2 linked regions of the Neodiprion lecontei genome follow. The protein of the gene in region 1 interacts with the protein of each later gene in a pairwise test. Links are inferred from orthologs where the notes say so. Each region holds a gene or a part of one and is shown in the gene's direction. Other genes may lie near its edges.

Region 1 (7,268 bases):
AACAAGAATAAGAACGGCGACAGTATTGATAGAATTAACAGTGATGGTGGTGTTGTGGATAGAAATGATTTTATTGCTAGTGTAACTAACGATAATGTAATAAAAGAAAAGCATCAGAATTAGTTGCTCACGTCGATATCAATAAAAACAGATGGAGCGAGAACAAGAACGCCAAGAATATAACGATAATGATACCATAAACACCAATTGCAGTGACATTGATACAAAATCGAGTACGACACACGAATCAATCAATTCCTCTCTGAATTTATCTTTTCACTCCTTCTACCCGTCTGTTCGCTCGTTAGTCTCTTTGATAGGAAAACCAAATGTTCGACTTCATGCACACAACATACTTATACTGATAATTGGGGCTGCACAATTTTGAAGCGAGAACCTTTGATGAAACGAGGGCTTGTCGTGGTTCAAATGATATAATTAATTGCTGAGTCGCTTAGATCACTGGGTGGGTGTACATAAAATGCAAACAAAGACATCGCACAATATTAGATCAACAATTCGCGGCGGTAGCAAGGGATCAATGCCCGAATGCGACTAGTTAAAGTGTCGTCGCTCTCCGACTGACCGGCGGCAGAGCCATGGCAAGGCTCGTAACAGCTACAACAGGGTAGGTCCGCGCCCTTTCCACCAAATCTACGATACTTGCGCCTATGACACGAGCGTCATCTGGCATCGTTTCGATGAACTGCTATTCACCCCTGCGGCCATAGTTGCCGTTAATCAACCACGAACCATACGTCACACACTGGAACAGCCCCTGACACTCACCACTGCTCGTATACTAAAAAATTGTACGCTTTTTGTCCTCGTTTTGTAGTTCCTCTACGTGGCGCTAGTAGACTTCTGAAACGCTCGCTGCCCTCGCTGACCGCACGCAAGCTTGTCAGACAACTACTAGTGCCACTAATGGTGGAGATTGGCGGCAGAATCGAGGGATATATTGCGAACCACTTTTAGCAGCGTGTGTTAGGGGGCTGCTCTGGAATTACTGGTGTTGACCAGCCCCCTGACCCTGGACTAGATTCTCTTATAGCAGGGCGTCCGCGTTAATGCCTCCCGCCACTACGTGCTAGAAGTCGTCTGATCTACTCCTTCCACTCCCCAACCCTCATTAATCTGCTCTCTGCGTAGTTTCCATTCTTCGTATAACTAATAGGGTCGGCATCGTGAGCAGTTGACTACTAACGCCACGTAGTGGCGAGGTACATTAACGGGGACTCGGTATACCCAGCAGTGTTAGGGGGTTGATGTTGACTGAAGATCATGGCTCTTGTATTGACCCGGAGTGTGTTTCGGTAACCTACCATTAGTACAGAGGCGCTGTAATCTAGTAGTAGTAATAAACACCTAACCTATTTCTTTTAGATTTCTTCAATGTGTAGTAGTTCACCAATTTTGTTCGTCAACAAATTCAGTTTGTGAATATGTTGAAATCTGTATAGAATAAAGTAAGTAAAAATTAAATGTAACCTTGGAGTTCAAAATTCATGTTATTTATTAGGGTTCAAAAACGTTCGTAAACGCTATAATAAATCAGAACAGCACTTGTATTTGAAATTAGTTTTATATTTTATAATCAAAACATAGCAAACAAACAAAATTACGGTACATTTTTTATCGGAACCAAATCAATTTTTATGACCACACGACAGCAATCGCTGACGCTACTTGAAGCGTGCTCTAATATTACAAGGGCTTGTTTACGTTGGGGTACTACGAGATTGCAGCGCTCTAACTTTGCGGCCAATTTCCAGAACTTTTGAGCTTCAACAAGAAACCCATCCCCACCTATACACTTAAAGGATAGACAATAGACTGAGCACTATGAGCACTCCTCCCATAATGGGCACTGAAGCCGTTGCTGGGGCCGGATTCCGAACATCAAGCGAGTTCGAATTAGTTCTACGGTTTTCCGCTCTCCATACTATTATTATAGTCGATGGTTAATGAACATCACGGTCGGTACAGAGCTTATCGATGTTAAATATTATTACGAAGTGGCACATGCTGTTGATAGAGGGCGATAGCTAAGAAAGGAGAGAAAAATAGATGTTCAGAACTAAAAACCGTAGAACTCACTAACTCGAACTCGCTTGATGTTCGGAATCCGGCCCCTGAAGCTAACATATACAGCAAAGAGATATGTCGGGAGTACTCCTTTCTCTTTTCTATCGGCCCCATGGCGGGGGACAAGGGAACAGTTAAAAGTAGAAGAGTCATAGATATAGGCCAGTGGCGAAGCTGCGGTATAAACATTTTTTATCCTGCAGACTAAATTTACATGGTAAGATCCATTAGCAGGTTGTTGACTGTAGAGCACTGCCGTCACCGCCGTGCCCTCTTCCTTGCTTTAAAATGATAACCGTTGCTAACCTGTCTAGCAATCTTCCAGTCAACGCCCTACATTTTCTTGGGACTTCAGCGCCACCTATAGGAACTACCGGTTACTTAACGAGTATTTTCGGACAACAGGTTCGTTGTCCGTGCTTCTCTCTTCAAATGAGTTTGCTTTTCATGTTTTTACCTCAAATCCCGATATCTCTGGAACAAGTGCTGTTTATATGCGATGAGTACTAAACCGTGTCTACTCTAGCTCGGTTCTAAGATTTCGGTGTGATTCATTTTGGAAATATTTGTTCCTTCGTTGTTCAGCAAACCAGTAGGGATATTATTGCATTGTGGAAGGGGAGACCGATAGGGAGTAGCCATACTGTAGAAATCAACAAATCTCTTTTATTGGGCAAGTGGGACACAAGAACCACCACAACAGCAGCAGCAGCAGCAGCAGCAGCAACAACAGCAGGAACAACACAACAACAACAACAACAACACAAATGAGATTGTCGATCACATATTTGGAAACAAGCATACAAGCATTTGTTCTGAATAATCAATTTCGCGGAGGTAGATTTAAGCTTAGTAAATTTGGCTTGATTTATTTGACACTTGTATGTTATTTGTCAGAATCTCAATAGTCGTTCGCCTCGCAATTTCCTCACTACCATCTCCACGTCTGTGTAAATTTCACGAACGATAGCTTGAAATAAGTCCATTCAATTTGTGCGGAAAAATTTTCAATTATTTCGTCTTAGTTTTCATTTGACAAATAATTATCAATGCCTGCAGAGTTTTGTACTTACAATCGAAATGTTAGTCTTGCTTTAATTTGTTTCCACAATTGTACATACGAATTCAACCGAGCTGTGAAAGACTTCAATCCGGGTCTGCAAGCATTTTCTTTTTATTGTGCAAAAATGCATTTGAAATAGATATATCGTAACGGAAATCCTATGACAATGAAAGAAATACGGCGATGCTGATTTTTATGAGCAAGGATCTGGCTGATTCATCAAGAACAACGAATATGGCCAAGAGATGTCAGGGAGCTACCAGTTTTGGCTGATAACACTCAGTACCTAAAAAACATCAGAAAGGCATAATTGCTACTCGCTATCATATGCTAGGTAGAAAACACGAGATGGCTGCCCAAAGCAACACAGCTCTTTCCAACGATGGTTTTGACTGCGGTAAAAATAATCCAACTATTATTTACTGACTTACTAACTCCTTTATAGACTTTGGTAGTCCATGTTGACAAATCAGTATCATTCACAAAAATTGCAATTTTAATTTATTCGTCAAAATTCAAAGTAATACAATGTAAACACTCTGAATCTCACAGAGATGAAACACCGTCTGTACATGGGTATGAACTAGAAATAATACAATTATACATACGTACATACACACGCGTACATACATATAGGCATATGAAAAATACATTCAATAATATTTTTATAGACAAATAGAACAAAGACGAAGAACATGCCAATGAATACCTATTTTAAAAACAATGATAGAGAGAGCATAGTTCATTACCCTTGGTTCTCAATAGCAAAAGTAGTAGTAAATAATAACAATAATAACAATAATCATATCAAATGATTTCGGATAGCCCATATAATCAAGCTATGAAAGCATGCACTCTTCATTTAGCCATTTCATAATCATTCTTTTTGCAGTACATGTCTTAATTTTTAGAGTTTTTAGATTATTAGATGACAAGCTGAAATATTCAGCAACCATATATTTCGGGTTGTTTTTGTAGATTGTTCTCGTAACTTGTCGAACTGGCGCAAGTTGCTTCCTTGCACCTGATTGAAAACTGATGCGAGGTAGATCTCTTCCACATTCTTGTATTTAAAAATAATATTTTTGAAATATAAAAATTACAGGGATTAAGCAAGGTTTGAAGTAGATAATTTTGAGTAACTTTTTTATCATTCTTTGTTGGAGATTAACTAATGGAGCCATAGTGTTTTCATAAGCCCCTCCCCCAAACGATTAAACCATAGTTTGTGATACTGTTAAAAAGTATATGATAAATAGCGTATAAAACAAATGGAGCTGCACGTCTCAGTTTGCTAAAACGCATAAAAAATACCTAGTGTTTTTTCGAATACATTATTCTTATGCGCATCCCATCTAATATTAAAATTGAAAATGATCCGTAAGTGGTTAAATTTTTCAACTCTTTATATTATATCACCTGAAATGCGTATGTTTATCTCATTTGGTGAGTTATTCTTGTAACAGCCACAAAGATGATGCATTCTGTCTTAGAGCTGTTCAACGATACTTTATTTTGGCAAAATCGTTTAATAACATTTCTGTAATTAGTGAGTCTTTTCTGGATTTTCAATTTCAAATTATTATAGTTTGTGTTCTCTACCAATAGGCAGTTGTAGCGACAAAGAAGTTCAAAAAATTGGGAATGCAAATGGTTCGATTCATCTGGTACCTCCAAGTTATCTCTATAATACAGGATCTGGCCAGACTACAAGGGATCTAGACCAAGAGCATAGCAACCAAGATCGTGCATCTGAGGATGAATTAGGACCCCTTCCATCCAATTGGGAGAAAGCCTACACTGACACTGGAGAAGTGTATTTTATCGAGTAAGTAATACTGAAAGTTGTGAGAAATTTTGTAAAAATATATTGCATATGGTTTTCTCAAATAGGATGCTAGTCAACTTATTACCGTATATTATTCAAGTCATAACAGCGGCACGTCGCACTGGCTTGATCCAAGGTTGTCCAAATTTCAAAAACGTTCCCTAGAAGAATGTTTAGATGACGAGCTACCTTATGGGTGGGAAAAAATAGATGATACTTTGTACGGAACCTACTTTATCGACCATGTGAATCGGCGAACCCAATACGAGAACCCAGTACTCCAAGCCAAACGGGCTCAGCAGGGCGTGACAGACTGTAAAAGTTCAGTATTCACTAGAAACCCTGATAAATTAAAGGGGCTAAGAATACGTAGTACGCTGCTGAAAGGTACCAGAGGACTGGGTTTCACTATTGTCGGTGGAGATGACACTATTGAAGAATTCCTTCAGATAAAAAGTGTCGTGCCAAACGGACCAGCCTGGATAGATGGAAAGCTGCAGACTGGTAAGAGGGTCCAGAATTTATCCTATCACGAATCTTTTATTATTATTATTATTATTATTATTATTATTTTATTATTTTTGACTGCGATACTACACAGCTACGATATATTCATCCACATCTGACAACAGCCTATTGGCATCTTCTTTTTTAAGGCGATGTTCTTGTTTATGTTAATGAAACCTGTGTTCTTGGATATACTCACAACGAAATGGTAAACGTGTTCAAATCTATTTCGAGTGGGGAGACTGTCACTATCGAGGTATGCCGTGGCTACCCACTGCCCTTTGATCCAAACGATCCCAATACTGAAGTGGTGACCACAATAGCAGTCAATGCTCCAGGTGAGTTGGTGTACATAATAAATAAAACAATTTTTCCGTGATGTCAGCCCGTGTCAATTGTAGACACGTTCAGTTCAGCAATATAAGTGATTCATACATGATTTATAAATTATACAAATATTGCATTTGCCCATGAGTACAAGCATTGGCCAAAGACAGTTAAGGACAGTCAGCCCAAAGCGAATACTTGTGATGCACCAAGGTGCCTGGATGGGCCTGGGAATAATTGCACTTACCGTTGGTTAAAATCTTTTGTAATGTAAGTGAGTAATTGCAGTTACCTGAAATTTGGACCATGCCCTTTACTCACTTTTGTCTAGCACCATAAGGTCCGTAAAGCTGCCTGTCTTTAAAGTTCTATCAATGATACAATTGTTTCTACATATACAACCTATTATCAGCTGCCTACCATTTATCCCCAGATGTACCGATTGAGGATCCAACACTTTACATGGACATTAATCCTAGTATGCATTCTAATGATCGTTTCAACTATGTCGACGGAAACCTGTTACCAGTACATAAGATATCGAACAGTGAAAATCTGGCAACCACGTCCGTCAATTCTATGCCTGATCTCTGTATTTCTGATAAAGTTACAACCATAAAGCGGCCAAATAGTACAGACATACTACTGGGAGAAAGTGTGAATGAGGACAATGGCGATGAATATATGGTGGGACGAGATGTACAGCAGGAAAATAATGAGGGGGATGAAGAAGTCGGAGAAGACGAATCTAGACCTTACAAGGAACGACAACAGCCTCCGGTAACACCTGCCAAGCCCGAGTTTCTTAGCATATTGATTGTAAAAGGTACAATGGGGTTCGGTTTCACGATAGCAGACTCGGCACATGGACAGAAAGTGAAAAAGATCTTGGACCGGCAGCGCTGTAAAAATTTGATGGAAGGTGATATATTGGTTGATATAAATGTGACAAATGTAAGAAACATGTGCCATTCAGAGGTTGTGCAAGTGCTCAAGGATTGCCCAAGGAACAAAGAAGCCCTTATCCATGTCCAGAGAACCCACAGGATTAAGGATAAGAAGGAGAGAAATTCGGCAGAACTATTCAGGAGCAAAACACCGACTGCTGACCTCTATAGTACGCTATCAAAGACCATTCTGCCAAGTAGGCCAAAGACTCCGTTAGTTGATACAAGAACGACGGGGCATAGGCCAAAGACTCCCACCACTGCCAGCACCGAAATAGACAACTTGGGCTGGTCCACCGAGACTCGGGTGGATTCCAATTCCATAAATGGTCACCGTTATAGATACGCAGACTTAAGTGAGCCTGTGAACTACAAGGACACGCTGTACAGGGGGAATTTAACCATGCACTTACCCGAGACCTTTGCTGCTCTTGCCAAATTGGATGATGAACCAGGTAGAAGTTCGGACAAGCCATGTTGGGGCGCCACGAAAGAGGATAGCCAAATT
Region 2 (7,565 bases), on another chromosome or scaffold:
GGCAACTCGTCACGCGGGGATTCGTTGACCTTTACTTAATTATGAGATTATCGCGTTTTTCAAACGGTTTATACGAACAGGTATGAGCGCGGTATTGCTTATTACGAAAGTTTATAGGTACGTGTAAGTACGCTTTAAAATGCCTGTGAACTTTTGAGCTCTTTACAGATCTCTGGAAGCTCGACGTATCCGCGAGACTGTAATAATATTGACCCATAACGGTGTAACTTGTTCGACAGTAATTATTCTCGTCATCGTTTAACCACGACGTGTCACGAATCCCATGGACGGTTAAATACATATTGCAATATATTATAATTGCGCTGTAACGTCACCCCATTGCACAGCGGGCTGCAGGGTAAACGTGCGTCGTTAAATTAAGAGATAAATATAATGCAGAGCGGGGGAGCGCTGTAAGACGCTTAATGTCGGGCCACTGCGCGTTTCTAAATTTCCTCGCTTTGCTCGACTCGACGATCGACTCGTGCGCGGAGGCCTTTAGCTAGATTAACGCGGAAGTCGCCGTCACCACAAATCATTATTAGCATATTATCAGAGACACTTATCAGAGAACGCTGCGAGCCGACCCCACCCCCACCCCTCAAATAAGAGTCAATATAAATCACTGATTGTCTCCTCCTGGAGCAATAACTCATTCGTTAACAGGCATATAATTACGCCGGGTGGGCCGAGGTTACTCGAACGACGGGCGATGATATAGAACACTCGATCAAATCTTGAGCAACGTTAAATCCGGAGCATATTAATGCGCACGCATATTATACCCACGTTGGGGTCTCTTCGTGGCTTTCAGCCTGCGGAGAAACAAACGGCCCGAATAAAAAGGGAGAAACGAAAACCTGAATTACGCGTGTACAAATCATGCGCGCGGATCGCGTACATGGCGAATTAATGTCTCCTATTTCCTGTTTACCGTCAAATATTTGAATCTATCGCTGCCCACCGGCGGGATGACGTTAAAAGCGGCGCGAATTCGAGCATTAACCGGGTGACGACGTATCGAGGGGAAATCTCTCTCAATCACGCTCGTGAAAATTAATCGGTATGGGCGCAGCTGATAAGAATTGATAGCGCTCTTCTGCCGAACTGCCAATACATTTTACTTTGCACTATAACAGTCGATGTCTGTTATTTCGAACGCAATCTGTAGCCGGCCATGCATAGCTGGACTCGAGGCACCCGCTCGTAAACTTGACCGTTGATACACGCGCGTACCCGGGCATGAAGCCTGAGTGGCTTGACTAAATGGGCCTAACACCTTGAAAAATTGAAGTGCTGAAAAGCGGACTGTCCGTTTTGCTCCGATTTACGTCTCGCTTAACTCACGACTTCGTTTTGTCGCGATCGTGCGGTAATAACACAAATTTCGTTTCGAAACGCTCCCCTAACGAGCGACACACGCTACACGCCAAGCGCGCGTGCTATATCGGTTGCATTCGTGTAGGCGCTTGTGGCACCTCCGATCGAGAATAACATGCGCCGATTTTAGAATCTTCGCAGCGTTTCGATAGTTACTTTCAAGAGCAAATAGAATCGCTGTAATTGAGAACGAAGAGATAATCTATCAGAATTGCTAAAATGGTATAATTACGAGCGATAAACGTAGCTGAAATTTCTGGAGTTACTATACTACGGTCATGTTACGCAGCTATAATACAACTATAATAAATCAACTTAGTTTCAAGCTAGACATTAGTCTGGCGTGTAAAACCGCGGCATAGCTACTTAAATAATGGTAATTGCAGGAACGCGAGAGTATAAATTCCACGGTTGATTCTTCGGTCAACTTGCTCAGGCTTATCTCGTTTCCACGTGGAGATTAAAAAGGAACAACTCCTTGTACAAAGTTAGCTAGATTTCAAACTGCGCAGTTCAAGCAATTCTCTGTGCTGTCGCGTTTCGTTCAGGTAAAATAGCGGTTCCCTATTATCCCTGCAAGGGTCGATTCTGACCATAAAAAGCTGGGAGCGGTTCGAGCGGCCTTCGTTTAGAAGCAAAATAGAAAAATCATACAATTTCATCTGAACGAGACTAGTTGGAGAAAAAAGTTATTCGCAGAATTTTAAATATCTCATCCATCGATAATAAACGAACAATCATTTATCTGAAATATATCTACAAACGCTGGCTTTTTGTTGCCATAATCATGTATGTTTGCTTAAGCTCGAACCCTATGGAGCACGCCACGTGATTATAGAAGATGTAGGCATCAGGGCGACTGTTTGTTGAAAGATGAAATATTTACGATTATTATATGTAAATGGAGAGATAAATCCAGTAGAATTTAACACAGAATAACTTTATTAACCAGTTAGGTATAACTGTTACTATACCTATACATTATGTAGATTCATACATGTTAAATCCTTATAAAAGTATGATTTACGCCTGTGGACGATGCACGAGGGAAGTTTCCCGGTCAATTATCATCTGCGAATTTCGTCACAAACTAAGAACATAAGCTAACATGAAATAAAGGAATAGTTCTGACGCGTATACCGCGCTTTTCTAATTCTCCGAATACCGTAGACTAGAGTCTGTAGTACGTATAGGAGTCACGCAATGCCGCCGATTAGTGTTCGGCTTAGTCAGCTGGGAATTCTCCGATTTCCAAACGATGTCCTCAGACCCGAATGATGAAAAAATCCGACAAAGAGTGAATGATGAAAAAGGCGTATGCAGAGAGCGTCGAGAGGCTCGTACGGCATCGAATTTATTGCCTATTTCGAGCACATGGAACAATTAGTCAAGTGGCAACACTCGGCACTTGATCGCTCGGTCCACTATCGGCGTAGTAACACAAAAAGGTTTCCTCCTAACCCAAAGATTCTACGGATCGTGACAGTTTGTTTTATTTTTTTCAATTCGAATTCTACCCAATCGTCCCATGATCCGAATCAGCGCCGTTGACCGGTTCCCCGAAGCTTCTGCGGGAGGCTGAAACTTCACGCATGCTTTGTACCGCCGACACGGCACAGTATATCGACTCGAGTCATATTATAGTGTGTCATACTCTAATCACCGCGTCTAAACATCGGGACTACTTTCTGCGCGGCGCAGGTCCTCGTCTCGTCGTAAAGGGCGCGCTGCGGCCGCTGGATCCGCCATGTTTAGTTGGCGGAGCGAGGAGGCAGTGCTTGGAAGGGGGAACTGGAAGCTGGCTGGTGTAAAGTGAGTCACTCGCGTAGTTTGACGGACGATATTCGCACGAATAACAATAATTATCGACCCTCTGGTAAACGGTAAGTGAAACAATGTTATCCTGCGTTATTCGCGCCCCCGGTCTCGCCCTCTGAGGCCTGATTATCCCCGATTTTCGTGTTTACGCCTGGGTGTGTCAAAAGTGCTTCCATTGCCCCCTTCCGATTGTCAGAAAATGGTGATGCATTGCATTCTTGAGCCCTTTGTTGTGCCGCAACACCCACGCGTACCCACGCTTCGGTTTCTTGGCCCACTCCGGGTATCACACTCGTTTAATACGCTTTATCGGTCCTTTTTCACCCTCTAAAGCAGTTCGTATGATCCCCGGCGTTTCGTCGATAAATTAAGTATGGAAAATAAAAAAAAAGAGAAATAGAAGGGAGAGTAAAAAAAAAAAAAACTACCTACCTATCGCTTTACTCGAACGGATATGTGCACCTGCGTGCATCTTGTACTATTCGCTTTGCTATTAGCGTGAATAGGTTTTTTGAGGATTGTGGTAGACATGTATTTTATTTTATTTATTATTTTTTTTTTATCATACATTTGTACATTTTTCTGCTTCGATCAGATATATGTTTTATATCTGTATGATTAAATACACTGGTGTTAATCTAAATATTACAAGTGCGTATTACGAGATACTTGTTATCTCACAATCGTTAGCTAGCTGGTAATATGAATCATAGGAGCGATGAGTCTGTTGTCAAATTTGCATAAGAATGAAAGTTACATAGCAGCTAGACATATGTACGTATATCTATATGCAGTTTGGTGTCTCTGAACAAAAAAAAGACGTGCTTTCATTAGTTGTAATTTGTGACATTTTAGACTGTTGCGTAATACACATTCAATACTAAACTTACTCCGATCGATCTGATACAAAATTACATAATAATCCCCATTTTATGCAGGTGTGGAGTGTTTCGCCCGTTGGAGCCATGAGTTATCAAATGACGTCGAATCAATCTAGACCCAGTAAGTACCATCTGATTTGAATTACAGGTCTGACCTTAGGGCCTTTCGATTTGAAGTTGAATCAATTTTCTGTTATATTCGTAACTTCCAGTGTCGCACGGCAGCTATCAAGGCCCGGCAGACCTACCGATGGGCTCTGCCAAAGAGCAGACTCTCATGTGGCAACAAAACTCCTACATGGGCGACTCGGGAATCCACTCAGGGGCTGCGACTCAGGCGCAGTCTCTGTCAGGAAAGGAAGATGACGATATAGAGGGAGACCAACTCATGTTCGACTTGGATCAGGGCTTCGCTCAAGGATTCACACAGGACCAAGTCGACGGTGAGGAAAATATTATTGAAATATTTATTACATATGGAAGAAAAAAACCCAAAATATTACGGAGTATTATTTCCTGCTTGAAATTACTACAAACTTCAGCCTCAGTTTAAAATAATTCTGTCAAGTTGTAAACAGCGAGGAGTACGTGTTAACGAATCTTGTAAAATTCAATTAAAATATTCAACAATCATTTTTATTTCAACAGAAATGAATCAACAACTGAGCCACACGAGATCACAGCGTGTACGCGCAGCAATGTTCCCTGAAACATTAGAGGAGGGTATTGAGATACCATCTACACAGTATGATCCAGCGCAACCAACCGCAGTTCAAAGACTGGCAGAGCCAAGCCAAATGTTGAAGCACGCAGTGGTCAACTTGATCAACTATCAGGATGATGCAGATCTGGCAACTCGTGCGATTCCAGAGTTGATCAAGCTCCTCAACGACGAGGATCAGGTTATAGTTTCGCAAGCTGCTATGATGGTGCATCAGTTGTCTAAAAAGGAAGCCTCACGACACGCTATTATGAACAGTCCCCAAATGGTGGCTGCTCTTGTACGAGCAATCTCAAACAGCAATGATCTTGAATCAACGAAAGCTGCGGTCGGAACTCTGCACAATTTGTCTCACCACAGACAAGGGCTTCTGGCTATTTTCAAAAGTGGCGGTATCCCTGCTCTTGTTAAGCTGTTGAGTTCACCAGTAGAGTCTGTATTATTCTACGCCATAACCACGCTTCACAATCTGCTGCTTCACCAAGACGGTTCTAAAATGGCCGTACGTCTTGCCGGTGGACTGCAGAAGATGGTTGCTCTTCTTCAGCGTAACAACGTGAAATTTTTGGCTATTGTAACTGACTGTCTCCAAATTCTCGCTTACGGCAATCAAGAAAGCAAGCTGATCATCCTCGCTTCTCAGGGACCAATCGAACTTGTACGAATTATGCGCTCTTATGAGTATGAGAAGCTCTTGTGGACAACCTCCAGAGTCTTGAAGGGTAAAATACAATCTAACAATATCTAGGGACTTATAGACAATATTCACTGAAATTATCCCTGCCACCTCTTACGCAACAATCATATTTCAATATGTATTCTCTTCTCTTCCTCAGTGCTGTCGGTGTGCTCCAGCAACAAACCAGCAATTGTCGAAGCTGGCGGTATGCAAGCCTTGGCAATGCATCTTGGAAACTCGAGTCCAAGACTGGTTCAGAATTGCTTGTGGACACTGCGAAATCTCTCTGACGCAGGAACAAAAGTTGACGGATTGGAGGGTCTGCTGCAAGGATTAGTGCAGGTGCTGACTTCAAGCGACGTAAACGTTGTCACATGTGCAGCCGGTATTTTGTCAAATTTGACATGCAACAATCAACGCAACAAGGTGCGTCAAATTTCTTACAGAGTAAGGAAATAAATGAGGTGAAGAAGCAAAATATTCACAAAAGTATCTTAAAAACTTATTTCAGGTCACAGTGTGTCAAGTTGGGGGAGTCGACGCACTTGTGCGCACTATTGTCAGCGCTGGTGATCGCGAGGAGATAACAGAGCCAGCAGTCTGTGCTCTCCGTCATCTAACTTCGCGTCACGTCGACGCCGAAATGGCCCAAAATTCGGTCCGCTTGAACTACGGCATTCAGGTCATAGTCAAGCTTCTGCATCCGCCTTCGCGCTGGCCGTTGGTCAAGGCTGTTATTGGCCTTATTCGTAATCTGGCTCTGTGCCCAGCGAATCATGCTCCGTTACGCGAACATGGCGCTATTCATCATCTGGTTAGGCTCCTCATGCGCGCTTTCCAGGATACTCAGCGAGTATGTTCCTTTATAATTATGTCTCGATTGTTCAATCTAACGTATTAGACACAGAAATAAAAGAACGCTTAATACAGTGTCACGTCACATGCCGAATGTTGATCTTGACTTATCGAGCTTATTATCACCGTTATCTTGCAGCAGAGATCCTCAGTGGCTAGTACAGGAAGCCAACAGGCAGCTGGAGCATACGCAGATGGGGTGCGCATGGAAGAAATTGTGGAAGGCACAGTTGGAGCTTTGCACATTCTAGCCAGAGAATCGCATAACAGAGCGATCATTCGAACTCAAACTGTTATACCGATATTCGTCCAGGTCCGTACTCTAATGATCAACTTATAATCTGCAGATTACTTTGTAGTGATGTATATCACAACCCTGCTTTATCACAGATTAGTATTAGTCTTTTGTTTATCCGATGTCCTTTTACCTTTATGGAACATTAGTTGCTGTTCAACGAGATTGAGAATATTCAACGCGTCGCGGCAGGAGTACTTTGCGAATTGGCGACGGATAAGGAAGGGGCTGAAATGATTGAGCAAGAAGGAGCTACCGCTCCGCTAACTGAGTTACTTCACTCGCGGAACGAAGGCGTTGCAACTTACGCAGCTGCCGTGCTTTTCCGAATGAGTGACGACAAGCCGCAGGACTACAAGAAACGGTTATCTATGGAGCTGACTAACTCGCTATTCCGCGAAGACACCAGCCTCTGGAACAACGCTGATCTCGGAATGGGTCCAGACTTACAGGTAAAATCAGCACATTTTCTTATCCGAGACACTCGCACTGTGGCTTCTATTAGTTTTCACATCAAACCGCCTTGAAATAATTCTAGGTTTTTTCGTGAATATCACCGGATCGACAGAACATTCCTTCTTTTCTTTCGTTTTTCCACTCTTCTAATAACTTGGGTGGGTATGTACGTGTTATTCCCTTTTGTTGCGAGGGCCGCTGTTTCATTCGTATTGTGCAAAGCGTAATGCGTGATCAAAGGAAAAGTATTGTACAGAGTAGCATGTTTCAAACGAGACAGAAAAAGATGAAGACAAAGCGAAAGAGAGAGAGAGAGAAAGACACGGGCGGAAACGAGAGACAGTTTTCCAATATCAACCATTGAATGGTGTGTAAATGAAGCCACAGTTAAAGTGACAGAGCTGCAGAATATTCCACACCTGTGAATCTCCTGTCAGCACTGAGTGCTCGCTTAATTCGCTACATAAAACGTATTAGGTA

Evidence for each region.
Region 2: the proteins of membrane-associated guanylate kinase, WW and PDZ domain-containing protein 2 (region 1) and armadillo segment polarity protein interact in a two-hybrid assay, tested with the Caenorhabditis elegans proteins (2 studies listed by BioGRID, with this or other methods). The link is inferred for Neodiprion lecontei from reciprocal best matches to the Caenorhabditis elegans genes magi-1 and hmp-2.

Annotation. Positions count from the first base shown.
Region 1 is NC_060264.1:36,468,858-36,476,125, reverse strand, and holds the start of membrane-associated guanylate kinase, WW and PDZ domain-containing protein 2, read left to right. Parts: upstream 1-2,508; 5' UTR 2,509-3,478; coding exon 3,479-3,548; intron 3,549-4,759; coding exon 4,760-4,979; intron 4,980-5,079; coding exon 5,080-5,483; intron 5,484-5,635; coding exon 5,636-5,824; intron 5,825-6,246; coding exon 6,247-7,268.
Region 2 is NC_060261.1:41,589,965-41,597,529, forward strand, and holds the start of armadillo segment polarity protein, read left to right. Parts: upstream 1-3,129; 5' UTR 3,130-3,263; intron 3,264-4,136; 5' UTR 4,137-4,163; coding exon 4,164-4,200; intron 4,201-4,291; coding exon 4,292-4,522; intron 4,523-4,727; coding exon 4,728-5,522; intron 5,523-5,636; coding exon 5,637-5,905; intron 5,906-5,990; coding exon 5,991-6,332; intron 6,333-6,473; coding exon 6,474-6,647; intron 6,648-6,778; coding exon 6,779-7,081; intron 7,082-7,565. UniProt on the Caenorhabditis elegans protein: Required for cell migration during body enclosure and cell shape changes during body elongation. Plays a role in recruitment of the cadherin protein hmr-1 to adherens junctions.